Linked DNA regions of Styela clava. The protein of the gene in region 1 interacts with the protein of each later gene in a pairwise test. Links are inferred from orthologs where the notes say so. Each region holds a gene or a part of one and is shown on either strand. Other genes may lie near its edges. The genes, in order: PRKCA-binding protein-like and replication factor C subunit 4-like.

Region 1 (9,250 bases):
GTTCGGGTTTGCAGAATTTTTCGAATCGAAACCGCAGTTTCTGTTTTGGGGGATCCCCTAACTTTCGATCGATAAGTCTTCGGTCTCCGACCGATATTCTCGTTCTTATTGTTATTCACGAATTTCCACTTTGAAAACTAACATTGTAGCATCTCTTTCTATATATAAATGTCACAGCTTTCCCCATCCATACCCATCCCTATATAACTATCATTAGATATTCTGATGCTGATCTGTACCGATAATCGGGTTAAATGTTAAGTCCCTCTTTAGTGTTTCATGACTACATACGAAAACACGGGACAATGATATACATACAACTTCTCCTTTTTAACTAGCAGCCAAACGCCTAACGCGCTCCTCAGTTGCATAAATACATTCAGTTTTTTTTTGAAACAAATAAGTAAAATTATAAATGCGACGACTGCTATGTTATCCGAACAAAAGCGAAAACTTTAACTACCAAGCGTGTGTCTGCCAAATACAAATTCAGCGTATTATTGATTAATTTCTAATGATTTTTATACTTTTTGAAATAATGCAAAATTGCCTAAAACTCCTGACAAAGTCTGCTTGGCCTCAAAATTGAACCGATTTTTTGTAAACTGTATATGTGACTCGTTGAAACTGAGATTCGAATGATTCAGAGTGAATAATTATTCACAAACCAGTAATCATACCTGAACTCCCAACTGTTTATGTCGCACAAAGACAGGCAATAGTTGTGGTAAATTAACATTTGCCTTATGGGAATTTATTTTCTTATATTGGTTTGTTTACATGTAACTGTAGCCTAATTCCTTCACGAATTTATGGTAAATTTGGAGTTCGGTACTACCGTAGTATGTGTACCAGATTAGGGTTAGGCCATAATTTTATGCCGATTTTCCTTATTTTAGTTCCATTACGAGTTCGGGGACTGTTTATGTTAGCCTATAGCATAAATAATGGGTAAATTCTGTTTGATTTTATTCTCAGATTTCCACGATACACAGAATATAAATCTTATAACATTTATCCAGACTAGCTTAGAATGGTTTACATCGTCTTCTCTCTCCTATCGAAAGATATCGGAGTCGTATTTATACGTTGATCATAAATCCAATTAAATGCTGTAAACGTGAGCTCGTGATTCACGTTATAAACAGAAATTCCTATTATCTCAACAAGGGTAATTAGGTACATCGTACGGATGGGAACTTAGATATAATTATTTCAATCAGTGCCAAAGGTCTTGAGAATATAGATTTTAATTTGATAATGACTGGATGGAACCTGTTATGTTCTTAAAACTGGTGTAATTTGATTCCTACGAAAGTCTTGGTTCGAATTTTGAGAAAAATTAACTTTGTTTTCATATTTTTAACATGAAATGGGGTACATTTGGGGGTTAGTTGCTATATTATCTCCCCATCTTACTAACTGGAAGTTTCAAGATTTGGCAACTCTAATAAATTGAAAATATATAGAAAAATACAATACACAATGCTAAAATTAATGATATAGGTCAAAAAAAATATTTACATGTATATGATCTACAATGAGACAAGACATTGAAGTAAAGAAGAGTTTATAGAAAGAGTAAAGGCTGTAATGTAGAATTACAGAAAGATGGCGTATTTATATTTGAAAAATTTTGGTTTGGACGGTTAAAACATATTTTCAATTCAATGTATTTCGCTAAGTTAAAATGCTTATACTCGCTTTATCGCATTGTTACGATTTAGTAGACCTAGTTGGTCAATATATGCTTGTCCCATGTCGGGAAGAAAAAACGCATTTTTAAGTTTATGCCATCTCAGGGCTTTTTTGAAAAAATAACGCTTTTGGATACAATTTTTGTTTAACGAGCTTATTATTTAACCGTTCTATATGACGGCTTTGTAAATAATTAAAAGTATGACTCGCTCGAATCTACTTTTAGAAAGCATTTTAATCCCAATGAAATCTATTAATCGAAAAAGGAATGCTAACCGCAAATTTTCAATAATATAAATATTTTGAAAGGTATTTGAAATCAGAATATTCAAAGTTGTTACCATTAATTAATTTATAAAAATTAAAAGTCGAATGAAACGCCATGTATATATAAGAAAAAGAAGTACGGTACTTTACCTTAGTATTAGTGGAAGAATGAAAAATGTCTGTCTCAATGAGAAGAAAAACCTGAAAATCATGAAACAAATTGTAGAATGACATGCTCCTGATCTGTATATCGATTGGGTACGCGCGACAATTTCTCTATTGTTCGGAATAGAGCGCGTAATTTACCGTAAAACAGTCCATATATTGTTCATTGTTTTAAACAGTTCGTTTTTTGATTAGGTTTTTCACCTCGAACATATATCATGTTCTAAAAGAGTTCATTTCGATCGATGTTCAATACAGTCCATATTCATAATTTTAACGTTTCCAGAGTCCGTCACTATAGTTTAACAGTTTTCAATTGAGTTTATTGTCGTTTCATAATGTTCTTGATTATTTTGGCTTGATAGCAATTTGATACTTCAATTGTTGTTCCAGGCAATTTGAATCTCCCCGACATTCGTAAGTTCGCACGTTTTGTATAGACGGTTTCTCGGCAATTGTTGAAAGCTTTCGCTTGGTCAGCTTTTTGGTTGATTCCGTCAAATTGTTGCCTGTCCTGATTGTTGTCCGTACTTGTGGTTGAAATCCGTTGATCTGGTTCGTTTCAGATGGTTAATTCAAGTCGGTTTTGTCACCATTTATAGTATATAGGGTAGATTCTATTTGATTTTATTCTCAGATTTCCACGATACACAGAATATAAATCTTATAACATTTATCCAGACTAGCTTAGAATGGTTTACATCGTCTTCTCTCTCCTATCGAAAGATATCGGAGTCGTATTTATACGTTGATCATAAATCCAATTAAATGCTGTAAACGTGAGCTCGTGATTCACGTTATAAACAGAAATTCCTATTATCTCAACAAGGGTAATTAGGTACATCGTACGGATGGGAACTTAGATATAATTATTTCAATCAGTGCCAAAGGTCTTGAGAATATAGATTTTAATTTGATAATGACTGGATGGAACCTGTTATGTTCTTAAAACTGGTGTAATTTGATTCCTACGAAAGTCTTGGTTCGAATTTTGAGAAAAATTAACTTTGTTTTCATATTTTTAACATGAAATGGGGTACATTTGGGGGTTAGTTGCTATAAGCCAACTGAATGAAATGAACCCTGCCCATAGGCTTCCATCCCTTTACACAACTTGATGTAAAGTAGGCGAACAAAATTAGTTACCTCCATACATGAGCATGCCAAACTTTTCTGCTGCCCGGGGCGAGTTTCTGATAATACTTTTAAAAGTCAATGATCAACCAAAATATTTCATATATATATATGCTTTCATAAAATTCCATAAGCAAATTAGGACGGCTCATCCATTAGCCAACGTCATGAATATTTTACATTGTAACAAAGCTGAAAAATATCAGACGGTTGTTTGTCATGTTGGAAAGGCTAAAGTAGAAAAAAGACAAAACTAAAATGGTGAAATTTTAGTTTCAAACTCCCAAAACCAACCTCATCTCATAGTTTGCGTCGCTATACACTACCGTTGTCCGTTTGCGGGGACGTTGTAACTCACCGAAGGGCTGATTCAAACATCGAACCGCAGACCTGATTCCAAATATAATAAGAGTGTGAGAGCTGGTTGCCCCACGGTGGCCCACCTTTCCCTACTTAACTTTTAAAAAATGTTTCGGTGTATAAAGAGATTATAGACGTCGTTACACGTGAGAATAAATAAATTGAAGGTCAGGTAAGACAGAAACGTTCGTTTTATTAAACAAATCATCAAACTAAGCAAAAAACTCACTGTATAAAATCGAACTCATTTATTAACAAAAAGCAAGTCACTTATTTCTATGTGCAATCGCTACTTTGCTGTCAACAAATGTCTGAATGAAAGACTCTTTCGAATTTCGGTACTAATCAAAGATAAACTTGACATCGAATACCTCGAATATATATATATATTTTTATCAGAACTTTGAGAAAGATCGCGTGCAACTATCAATTGAGTATAGCCAATTGTGAGTAATACACATTATGCAATGCACAAAGTTGGAAAATCATCCCAGCCAAGCTCAACCAATGAATCAAGAAAATCTTTAGCATTTTTTGAAAAATCCGTTTACACTCCGACGTAGCAGTGAACGTTTTAGAAGTCACACAGACAGGTGCATTCATATTATTAGGTGAGTGAACACATAACATTGGCAAGACCCTCCAATTAATATCCTGCACACCTTGGGCAGACTGAAACAACTGGATTTTTGACGTGAAATGGAACACTGTGAATCACAGTGTGATGAACAAATTGGTGTTGACGGTCACTGATGATCAAGTTCGGCTGCAGTATGAAACAGATCATTCACAAGGTGTAAAGAGAATAAAGAAAATTTATGGAAAGGTATTGCGGATAATGTTTTTTTAAAGGGATCAACATACAAACATTCAACGACCGTACATGACATTCGGCTGCTACGGGATGGGGCAAAATAAACATTTAATAATTAACAGCGTATTGCTGACATATAGGCTACGGTACATATTGAATTGGCCATTATTACTGTAATAGATTAGGTGTTTCAAAAGTATAACAGCCCGGAAGTTCCTATACATTCGAGTATCTTTTGTTTGATTATTTCTGGCCTAAGCCTTGTTTTAACTAGGCTTGTGTTTTTTGTAATTTATTTTTGTGTATGTGCTGGTGGGAGGGCACATGATATTTCGCATGTTTTGAACTTTTTTAAATGTTTCGCTCACCCTCCAGAATTCTCCATTTTAAATTTGTGTATATTGTGGAGTATTCGAATAAACTATCTATCTATATAACTGCAAATATATGTGCTTGGACCTCAGGTACTGCTGTGCGAGAAGATTTCTGGACTCCACGCCGACGTAGGGTGGTTTACGTAACCGCTGGTCGATTACGGTTTTCCGGACGAGAAGCCGTGGCCATATGATTATAGGCTTTCTTGCCCCCTGAATAAATATGTAAATTGCAAATCCTGCCCTTTCCCGAACGAGGGCATGATTTCCTGTCGTCATGGTTGATTAAACATGATTGACGGAGCTGGCTTTTGTTGACGTCATTCGTTCGATGTGCAGCTGAAGTGTTAGCTAATCCCAATTATTCCTCCTTAAAAACATAGTACGGTAGGTCTGCGATGGTTAGCCTACTCGTTATCATTTGCATTCTTTAAAATCACGTACTAATGCAGTATTGTTTGCGAACATAAATTTATGCAATACAGTAATAAGTATCGTAAATATAACTGAGTTTACACCTTGTAACAGAAATAAATATTCTCTAATATATTATGAAGTTGAAGCATCAATCTGTCAATTCAATGTTTTCTTCTACTAACTTTACTCATTCTTCAAGTTCATTATTGTTATTTAATCACAATTTGTACTGTACGGTAGTTCTTCCAAATTTAAAAAAAGTTAATGATAATGTGATTTTGTACCATACTAAACAGAATCGGTTTCGGAAATATTCGCTTAGAAAATAAAATATTTGAAACTCAGATCCCCAGCCTGCCAGTGGTGACTGCTTATGGTTTCTGCCCTTCGATTAGTGCGGTAGGATTTTTGATTTTGTTGAATTATCTAATTATTCATTTCTAGAATTTGAGAAAACAGTTGTAAACGAAATACTGACCGATATCCATACTACCAATTTGTCTATTCAATGCCCAGATGTCTCACGCCATGGAAGAATGGGGAATAGAAGAGGATAAGATGGGAATGACCACTGTTTCTGGTACAGTCAAGCTCATGAAAGATAAGCAAAATTTGATTGGAATAAGCATTGGCGGAGGTGCACCCTTATGTCCATGTCTTTATATTGTACAAGTATTCGATAATACACCAGCTGCAAAGGATGGATCTTTGGCTGCAGGTGATGAAATTGTTGCTGTAAATAGCAAATCAGTCAAAGGGCTATCAAAGGTTCAGTTGGCTAAAACAATACAAAGCATAAAGGGTGAAGTCCGAATCAACTTTAATAAACTACATGCAGATCCTAAACAAGGCAAAACATTGGATATTGTTCTGAAAAAGATAAAGCACCGAATTGTTGAACAAATGGATTCAAGTACAGCAGATGCACTTGGATTAAGTCGTGCAATTTTATGCAATGATGTTTTGATTAAGAGACTTCAGGAAATGGAACAGATTGGTGGAGTATATCTTGGGCTCATTGTTCACATAAAGAAACTTCTAAAATCTTATTTTAATTTGTGTAAAACTCACCGTGCATTCGGAGATATTTTTGGTGAGATTGGTGTACGTGATCCAAACTTTAACGGAGGTGAGGCTTTCGGGAAGTTTAGCGAAGCTCATCGTAATTTTGAAAAGTCTGGCTTCACTTTGATGACAACTTTAAAACCAATGTTGAATGATTTGAATACATATCTCAACAAAGCTATTCCGGATACGAAAATGACAATCAGGCGCTATGCAGACACAAAATTTGAGTACTTGTCGTTTTGTCTCAAGGTGAAGGAAATGGATGACGAGGAATATAGTTATGCTGCATTACAGGAACCACTTTATCGCGTTGAAACAGGAAATTATGAATATCGCTTAGTTTTGCGATGTCGCCAAGATGCTCGAGAGCGGTTTGCCAAACTTCGAAAAGATGTTATGGAAAAGCTAGAATTACTGGACAACAAACATGTACAAGATATCGTCCATCAGCTGCAAAGATTTGTTGCTGCTATTTCAAAGTATCATGATGACTGTCAAGCAAGTATGAAACAAGCTGATGTATTTCCAGTAGAAGTTGACTTGTCGAGTGCAACGTTCGAATATGATAAAAAAGACCGATTCCACGATCCGGAATATGAAGAGACTTTAGAATGAAAACGATGTTAATTGTCAACAATTCTAGTGCATATTACAGGTCAATTTGACCGGAATATCAAAAAAACAAAGGAAGTACTCCCTGTGTAAAATCTGAGAATTTTTATTAGGACCGTTTTGTAGTTTTGTCTGCTAATTCTTCGTATCCATATAGATTGGACCTCAAACTATTTATTCTATTGAAGCAATAACCTTTTTCAATTTACATGTGCATTTAATGTGAATTTTTGCTTTTTATTTCATCTGCTATCTTTGCGTAGAATTTTACTGCATAAGATAGTTTTGGAAGTTTTCTTTTATTGAATATATAAATTATGAAATGTAAAACAATGTGTCTTCAATATTGTGCTCATTTTGTCTGAAGTTTTCATTTTTTTGAATGTGTCTGATTAAAATTTTGTTGCCAAATGGTATGTATACTTTAAGAAGAGATTTTGTTATTTCATTTAAACTAGTACTGTTAAATCAAATGGTGAATTATGTTCATTTTATACATCAAACGCAGTGTGATGTTTCACTCTGTATGATTAATTTCAAAATATTAAATGAATAATACTTGAAATTCATGGCTGCTTTAATCGTTTTTGTCAATATAAATCAAATCCCGATACATAGTAATGATTCTAATGAAGATGAATTGTGCTGAACGATGAATTGCATGCTAAGTTCTATGTTTTCCCATTTATTGTGCATGTATTGTATGGTTGGTGATTATGTGCAATTACTTGTCCTTGATTAAGATATAAGATGCTGTAAATTGTATGTTGTTTTCTTTTAGTATTTTATTAACTTACTAATTAATACTGCACCTATTATTTATAATGGGAAAAGAAAAAGGTGGATTTTTAACTCCCAAGGCTATCGCAAATCGCATTAAATCGAAAGGTTTGCAAAAATTACGATGGTATTGTCAAATGTGCCAGAAGCAATGCAGAGATGAGGTAGGTTTCAAAAAATATGTCTTAAATATATTCTTTTCATACTATTATCTCTCTATCCACTTTTTCTATTTGCTTTGCCATGACATCAGACTTTGAACCTACATCTAATGAGTTAGTTCTAACTAATAAGCTATTCTAATATGCCATCCTAACATAACTAGTAGCTCAAAACTCTGAATAACATGATATATTGTCATGACAGAATGGTTTCAAATGTCATTGCATGTCAGAATCTCATCAAAGACAACTATTGCTGGTTGCAGAGAAACCAGGTGCCTTCAATGACCATTTTTCAAATGAATTTTTGAAAGAGTTTATGGAGTTATTGAAGCGTCGTTTCAACACTAGAAGAGTTCACAACAATGTGGTATGCATATATTATTAGAAAATTTTTGCTAAATCATACATTGCCATAAATGTTGATACTATTAAAGGGCTATTATAAAACTTATTTGAACTTATTATTCAAAAAGTTGAATACCTGGTACAATCGAACTTGAAGATCATCTCAATATTATTTGTTGTTTTAGGTTTACAACGAATATATTGGATTCAAGGAACATATTCATATGAATTCAACAAAATGGGTCACACTTACTGAATTTACAAAGTGGCTGGGACGTGAAGGTACATTAAATTAGGTTAGGTATATTTTCCTTTTACTAAATATTCAATTTAAAAAGTATAACCACTGGTACCCATGAAATGATTGTCATTATTGAGGACTCTGTTATTGTGCAAATAGGTTATTGCAAGGTTGACCAAACAGAGAAAGGATGGTTCATACAATACATTGACAGAGATCCTGAAGTTATTAGACGGCAGAAAGAACTCGAAAAAATTAAAAAAAAGGAAAAAGACGATGATGAAAGACATGCAAGGTAAGTTTCAGCCTTGTGAGTAACTGATTTTCTTTTCCACTCTCTTGAGACATATTGTTTCCTCTTCAGTTCATTGTAATATATTCTTTTTTGTAATGGAAAGTTTTCTGAATATTTTTATCATTGCTTTCAGAGCTATTGAGGATATGGTTCGTAGAGGGAAAGAGAGAGATGGGGATGAAAATGAACTAGAATTACCTTCAACAAGTAACGAATTGCAGAGGGAAGATGAAGATCAAAAAATAACTTTTGCAATGCAGACCCCGTCTGTCTCTTCCAAAAAAGCCTCTACAGCAGCCAAACCGAGGGTTGATATTGCAAAATCTGAGAAAGTGTTTAATTCAGCGTCAGGACAATATCATAAAATGAATAATAAGAAGCGGAAGAAGACAGCTTTAGAAGAAATCATGGACGTGAGTTGGGAATATTATTCATGTCTAAAATCTATTATAGTCGGCTCAGACCAAAAATTGTGCTGAAATTAACTAAAGCATTTGATATTCCTGACTTTTACAT
Region 2 (8,237 bases), on another chromosome or scaffold:
ATTCATTCATCCATTACTATTGTTAATGAAATCTATAATGACTCGACTCGTAAATAGAAGCATCAGTGATTCGACTTGACCCAGTACTCGAATTCGCTGAAACGCGGACGGGTGATGTGTAGGGATGGCGGAATCGAGTCCGGATTCGATTACAGAATCGATTCTTCGCGGAATCGACTAGAATCGATTCCGATGCATTGGAATCGATTCTCGAGGTCAAAACTTAGATTGCAAACAATGTGTAACCTTTTGTGGAAATTTCTTCCCAAATATGCATAAACTGTTTACTGCTATGTTGAGTTGCTACGACGCCGCAAACTTCATTAGCCTATGTATATATATATATATATATTTCGCGAGAAGACTTTTATGTTTATTTATTTATAAAAACTCCTTGGGTTCTGAAGGATTCTTTTTTTGTGCGATTTTGTCTCCTGTGACAGATTGGATACTGATACTACTTAGTTTTGGCCTTCTTGTCCGTCTATGTATTTAAACATCGCTCTCTTGTTTGATTTCATATGATGTTGCTTAGGTGGGTATGTTTCTCGGTGAGATATGTGGAGGAATCGAGATTCGGAATCGAGAATCGGAATCGAAAATTTAGGAATCAGATAGAAATCGAATACTTGTAAGTAGTCATACTTAGCATCCTTAGTGATGTGCCACTGTACTTTAAGATTCTCTTTTTGCCGTGGTCATTCGATAAAGATTTGGTGATATGTAGCCCTATTTTTATGGGATATTTCACACATCCCTTTGAACATGGGCTCTAAACAAGAAGTTACTCGTACATCTACTATGCATTTTAGGAAGAAATTTCATTGTTGTATATGAAATTATTCGATTGAATACAGCTATTGTATAAGAACGGTTTCAACTTCTGACAGCTTCACAACTTCCCCGTAGCAAAGCTCACACAAACTTTGAGAACGAGACGTAGAATTTCACTGCTAATATATTAGGTCATAAAATTGATTTACGTTGGATTTGTGACATGAAGCATGTCATTGGTTGGATGGAGTAGAGGAGTACTTTTCTAATATTAGGACCAGTACATTATCAGCAATGATGCGGCATTGTCAACATCGCACTGGCGCATTATCAAGAATGAGGGCGCATTAGGATGGAACAATATTGACATTCATTCAACCATTTTATTATTGTTTATGAAATCTATATTGACCAGGACTCGACTTGTGAATAGAAGCAGGAGTGGTTCGGCTTGACTTGTTACTCGAATTTGCTGCAACGGACTGGTGATATGTCACTGTAGAGATTTTCTTTGCTCCATCCTAATGCGAATCAAATAAACCAGACAAGTGGTAAATTTTATTAAATCTCGACCGCTACAAAATCAAATTTCTAAAGTTATGAATTAGAGTACGAGTCTTCTCTTACCCGTGGTGGTGGCTTTCTGAAAGAAAGGTGTATAAACGCTTGGTTCAATTGGAAACTTGTGTTCTTCCTTATATGAAAACGCAGAAAATGACTTCGACTTTTCTCTTTGTGGCAAAATGCGGTGGTAAGGAATGCATTTTTGCATTTTTGTGGCTCTCCGAATATGGAGTTTATACAAACTAAAAAGCAAAACATGAGAAAGAATTCTAGGAATTGAAATGCTGCTGTGTTTGACAACTGCGGGCAAAAATAGGCACATTCAACCAATCATCATTTATTTGTCAAGGCAATATAAAGACATCAAGGAAAACATTGCAAAATCGATGTTTTAACCCAACACCGCCGGATGACATATATTCAGTATTATTTAGCCTAGTCCAACTCTAAAAGATATTAATGGTGTTTTACAGTCAATGTTCTATAGTAGAGTCGTATATTTCACGAAAAAGAGACTTCAGCCATGACGCAAAGTGCGAATCGTATAAATAGCGTCGATTTTCAAATCGTCAGTCATATGTGTGAAATTGTTGACGCGACTCAGACAAGAAATCAATAGCATTAACTCCTTTATAATGACTTATTACTTATCGATCTTAAGATCGGTAAGTATATTGATAGGTATTTGTCTGTATGTATGTCTGTCTGTCTGTGTGTGTGTCTGTTAGATGCACGCGATATCTCACGAAAGCGAGATTGAATCTGCTCCAGATTTTGCATGTGCATTCATCTTATCTCGGACCAGAAGCCTATTGATTTTGGGCGAATTATGTCGTATAATTAGCGAGTTATCAATCATTATTGGTTTAGCATGTATTTTCAGTCATGCATATCATCCCTGGCGCTGTGATGTTTTGATAAATATAATTTCGACTGCACCATACTTGGCAGAGGTTTCGAAATTTTTCAAACGTGAAAAAAACGTAAAATTAATGATAATTTTCACGCGTAGCGGCGCGCATTAGAATGTTTACGTCTTTCTACGCGCATTTACGTCGGAAAAAGTAACATTTTTTGCATTGAGGGGAGCGTGTGCACTAATAATTAGAGCTGTGACGTCATCAAAATTGTTAATAGAAGCCTTGAACTTGAAAATTCTGTAAATACAATCGTTAATTTTAGAGTAACCATTCTTGCTATAATAGTGGTTCTAGTGTTGTTCTGTTGGAAAATAACACAAGAAAACGTTGAAATAAAAATTAATTAATTAGAAATAATTATTAACCCTGTACTAGACACAAAATCTCGCAAGTTCAATAGAAAATTTTGAATTTTGGCGTAAAAATTTTTTTTTAGAGGACTGCGTTTTACATATATTGCTGAAAAGAGCTCTATCACAAGCTATTAAAAAGCCATGAGTGAAGCTATAGGGCCTGATGGTTGACAATAAAATAACCCAAGTAAAATGGCACCAGACCGACCGGCTGGATAGGGTTTTGAAGAGCTTTTTCGCGCAAAAATAATGGTGAATTTATAAGGATACATGGACATGATAATACGACAATAGAGGCAAAGATACAAAGAACCTTATATGTAATGAAGTAGAAGTATCGAAGAGTTTGTTAACAGATATGACGATAACTCACTATATAATTTATGCTCATCGCTACCTACTGATTACACGTGTCTTTTCGAGCTCAAGCTTGAACGGGTGCTCGGTGGTAAGTATCATCACCGAAAAATTTATTATCCTAAGATTTTATTTAAGCAATGACGCGAAATGCACTTGTCTCATACTTGGCCATTGAACACAACGTCATCTCCTCGATTCTCTACCAGCTTCTAGTTCTGATAGTGAAACACGCAAACCACATCATAGAAAAGGCTATTCCAAAACCGTCAACATAGTTTAGGCAACTTTGTTAAAATGTCGCACGTATTCAAATTTTACAAAACAACTCTCCACGCCCATGCTTAAACTATTTTCGGTCTTTTGTTGTCGGTCCATGATTAAGGATCGCCGGTTCGTTTATTCGAGAGACTTGAACAATGGGAATTGTAGACGCAACTATAATATATATTACGAGTCAATACAAACATAGAATTTATATGGAAAAACACGTGGTGCGAGAACTGCACCATTTAAATAAAGAATTAGTTTGCAATGTCTTCATGGCGACTTGAATACTTGCGTTCTGATTGAAAACTCAATATTAACAATAGAAGAAAAGTATTAAACAATCAATCAATTTTATTTCGGTCCCTCTGACATGAAACAAAACAACAAAAAACGGACAAACAAAATGCAGAATACCTGGAGGAAGAGTATTTGCTTTTGTTGTTATAAGAAGGAAAAAAAACGAAAACTTGGGAAATCGCAAAACGTTGATGCGCAATTAAACAATATGGGTTTTGTGAACACACAACCAAATGAGTGTACTAAAATTTGAGTTTTACGGTGCTTGAAATCTGAATGTGAAATGGATGGTACATATGATTAAATTTAGTAGTTTTATATAAATTTATGTAAAGTTATGTAATTTTGGAATCCTGGTTGTCCTTTGCACTAAATATACTGCGTGAAGTTTGTATTGTTTGTTCACTAATTCGTGTGGCTTGCTAATTGGGATTCATTTCCACGCTACACGAAGATTGTAAATATCTTGCGGATCGAAGATAGATAAGTTACTTCACAGGCGCAGTTTTATGAACCGATTGCATTTTCGATCCATTATATGCAACGACTAACATACCGATTGTATGTTAGCGCGAAATTTAGATTTTGTATTTTTGAATCGGAACCCACAATTTATCCTCTTTTAATTTAAACCGGCCGAATATATTTTTAGACGCCGTTGCGGGCACATTTATTAAAATATACCTAAGATGCAAATGTCCAGAATATGCACTTGACAACAACATCAATTTTTATAATCCTCGCGGATATCAATCATATCGGAGCCATAGAACGCTCCTTTGGCGGGAAATCTGTAGAAATCCTAAATCCCTATTCTATCTGTTTGATTCGCTGTCTACAGATCTATGCTATGCTTTACACTCGGTATCGGTGCAGCAGTAGGGCTGGGCATTTTCGAATACCTTGTGATTTCAGAATCGAATCGACACACCATAACAAACACGTTTTTATCAATAACTCACTACAGAAAATAGTCATATGTTAGAATTGCGTTGAAAAAAAAATTGGGGAATTCACCTCGACCATTGGCGAAAAAAGAAAACAAGATGGCGGCGATTCGAAATTTAGCTCTGAACCGATTCGAATAATTTACTATTGGATTCGAAATGCCCAGCCCTATACAGCAGTAGTGCAAGCACGAGTATAGGAATAAAAATGGTGCAAAAAAAAAGTAATTGGTTTGAAGGATGATGATAGGATAGTTTCTTAGAGATGGTAGTTTGGATGGAGCCTGTTTAAATACTCATTCTGTCATTGTAAAATATTAGCTTATAATATAAAAACTTTTAATTATAAACTAATGTGGGATATTCTTTCAGTAAAAGTTAAACCAAGAATTAGACATATTTCTGGGAATGATTTATGGGTATTTTGTTCTCAAGCACCAGAATTTATATCTCATTCATTTTGGAACTGTGTTTTTACACAAAATGCAGAAATGTGTATGATTCTATTTTTTTCTGTTATATTAAAAATAAACGATTGTAAGTTGAAGTATATATATAGGCCTAAAACATGTTTGCATGTATTTTATTAGACCTAAGAAATCAGTGTTTTTCACATTTATCATTGATTAAACGTAATGCTATTACTGTATTATTCCAGACTTCTTATGTGTACTGCTAGATACAAGATTGGCAGATTTAAAAAATCCAGAAATCCCTTTCAGCATGGAGAAATATGGAAAAATTGAGACAACAACCTGATTTTATAAAAAAAAACTTGACATGATATGCAATAACCTATGACTTTTTGTATGAATTTTTATTTTCTGCCATAAAAAATTTAAAAAAATATTTAAAATAACTTATATTTACTTATAACTGTGATGAAAAATCTGTCTGAAAAAACAGTCTGATAGTAGTACAACATCTATTGAACCACAATGCATTCATTTTTTAAACCAGCCAGTGGATCTGGAGATGGAAAGAAATCATCCCTAACTAAGTCTGATAATGAAACAGAAAACTTGAAACCATGGATTGAAAAATACAGACCAAAATGCGTTGATGATATCGCGCATCAGGACGAAGTCGTTGCAGTTTTAAAAAAATGTATTACAGGAGCAGACTTGCCCAATATGTTGTTCTATGGTCCCCCAGGAACCGGTAAAACATCAACCATTCTGGCCCTTTCACGAGATTTGTATGGCCCCAAATTTCGGGATAGAGTACTTGAACTCAATGCATCAGATGACAGAGGCATATCAGTGGTGAGAGACAAGATAAAAAATTTTGCACAGTTGTCTGTAAGCAGTTTACAAGGCGGAAAGTCGCCTTCGTTCAAGATAATCATATTAGATGAGGCAGACTCTATGACGAAAGCTGCACAACAAGCTTTGAGAAGGACGATGGAGAAGCAAACGAAAACTACAAGATTTTGCCTTATTTGTAATTATGTCACAAGAATCATTGCACCGATTACATCAAGATGTTCAAAATTTCGATTCAAACCTTTGTCTGAAGAGGATCAGAAAAAAAGGTTACTCAGAGTAGCAGAAACAGAATCCGTTAAAATATCAGAAGATGCGATGGATAGTATGGTAAAATGTTCAGAGGGGGATTTGCGAAAAGCAATGACATTTTTACAAACTGCACATAGACTTAAAGGAGACGAAGGCATAGCAATCGAAGATGTTCTCGAGATAACAGGTGTAATACCAGATCCAGTAATCAAATCATTTCTCAATAGTTGTTCTTCAAATTCATACGAAAATCTCCTAAAAACAGTGCAAGAGATATCAGCTGATGGCCATGCCGCGGCTCAATTGGTCTCACAGCTCCATGATGAAATTGTTATTATGCCATCTCTCACTGATGAGCAAAAATGTGCCATAACTGAAAAATTAGCAACCCTCGATTATTGTCTCAATGATGGTGCGGATGAATACCTCCAACTTATGTCACTTGGAACTCTTATTCAGCAACAAATTTGCTCATGAGTTAGGGATTTTTTTCTACACTGCCAAATAGGGATGATATATTTTGGTGGAATATATCACTTTCATCATGCGCCAACCTGGTCAATACAACTTATGTGCTTATGTTATACCAGATTTCTTATTCCAGAATTTGTCCATGCACTAAAATTATACAGGAATTAATTCTTCATACACCAGCAGTGTCATGAGGTACAAGAGATTTTTAGAGAGTATCAACTAATGCTAACTGTGGACTTCATGAATCATTACATTGAAGTTATTATGAACCTCATAGTAATAATTCAACTCCATGTGTACTACCATAAATGCGGAAAAATAAGCGAATTCCTGTCTAAATGTTTCTGTTATTAAATTTTTTCACTGAGTTGAAGTTTTGCAATGTGTATAACATGGAAAATCAAAATAAGGTCAAATATTTAAGTCTTTAATTTACGGGGAGTACGTATTCTCCAACAGGTTTAACAGAAGTGATGTGGGATAGGAATAAGAGCAGGTTCAGCCCCCCCAATACATGAGAAGGTTGGTGGTTCGAAAACCAGAATTTACCAGGCAAATGGTGCCCATGACATAACAGGAAAAAGACTATAAGAATCTCTAGACATAACTGTATATTGAAAGAGACTTTGGTGGGAATAATATTAATTCAATATAAACCATGGGTGGGCGAATTGTGGGCCGGATCTAGCCCACTGAAGCGTTTCATCTGAAACTAAGACTATAGTTTTCATGGATAGAAATTTCTGAACCCGATTGTGCTTATTGGTATATAAATGTTAGCCTAGCTTTTGTGAATAAAATGTTTTTTTTGTTCATAGTTTTTCCTATCGAGTTTTGAGATTCTGGCCCAGTAACTAAATCTATTATGAGTAACTGGCCCACTCAGAAAAGTAATTGCCCACCCCTATCTAAACTGATTACCGGTAGCTTTTAAGATGCATATGTGGTCAAAAAATAGGGCGATCGGTACTTCGGTAATAAGACTGATTATATTATAAAAATCATTTTATTTGTGTAATTACATTAAGGTACATACAAATATATATAAAATAATATCAAACCTACTTGAAGAAGACAAGTCTCATAAAATCACAATGTCTCCATGATGCATAGTTTCTTTTCAACTATGTATTATGATGGGGTAGCCTAATTTTGAACAGAAAAATTGAGATACATGATTTAGAACCTATACCCTTTCAATGTCTGGAATTTATCACATCTGTTTTTGCTTAAGGCAAGAATCTGTGAAATTGATGTTTCTACATTTTGTTAGGACCTCTACACCTACAATTGGCAAATAATTATATATCAAGCAGCAATGACAGGTGCACAAAGTTTGGCACTGCACTTAAATCTAAATTGTTTATACAGTGGTCCAAAAACTCTTCCTCTCTTTTGCCCTTTGAAGTAACTCTGATGCACGCGCTGATGTCAATGAAGACGCAACAGATAGGACATCATCGTCTCTAGAAGCCATTACTGGTGTTGTTTGAGGTCTTCCTAGAGGACCACAGTGCTGGAATTCTTCACTTCTGAGTGATCCTTTAATTGGAGCCCTGATGTTTCGCAAGGAAGATACATGCCTTGTTACGATGGGGCTGGAGTTTGGTGGTGTCTGTTTTCTTTTCATTGGTGACTCCTTTTTTACAATAGGTGATTTTGCAGATGTGGATCGTTGGCCTTTTTCACGTGTGCATTTGACTGGTGCAGAGCGTGGGCTTAAACGAGTTAGAGTGTGTGTGCGACCTTTCAGAAGATTTTGTG

Evidence for each region.
Region 2: the proteins of PRKCA-binding protein-like (region 1) and replication factor C subunit 4-like interact in a two-hybrid assay, tested with the Caenorhabditis elegans proteins (3 studies listed by BioGRID). The link is inferred for Styela clava from reciprocal best matches to the Caenorhabditis elegans genes Y57G11C.22 and rfc-4.

The regions. Positions count from the first base shown.
Region 1 is NC_135258.1:21,925,095-21,934,344, forward strand, and holds PRKCA-binding protein-like, read left to right. Parts: upstream 1-5,265; 5' UTR 5,266-5,745; coding exon 5,746-6,912; 3' UTR 6,913-7,690; downstream 7,691-9,250. Other genes in the region: DNA/RNA-binding protein KIN17-like, read left to right, coding at 7,734-7,853, 8,056-8,220, 8,384-8,480, 8,599-8,734, 8,868-9,147.
Region 2 is NC_135252.1:13,501,190-13,509,426, forward strand, and holds replication factor C subunit 4-like, read left to right. Parts: upstream 1-5,183; 5' UTR 5,184-5,420; coding exon 5,421-6,476; 3' UTR 6,477-6,889; downstream 6,890-8,237. Other genes in the region: nuclear protein MDM1-like, read right to left, coding at 7,837-8,237. UniProt on the Caenorhabditis elegans protein: The elongation of primed DNA templates by DNA polymerase delta and epsilon requires the action of the accessory proteins PCNA and activator 1. This subunit may be involved in the elongation of the multiprimed DNA template.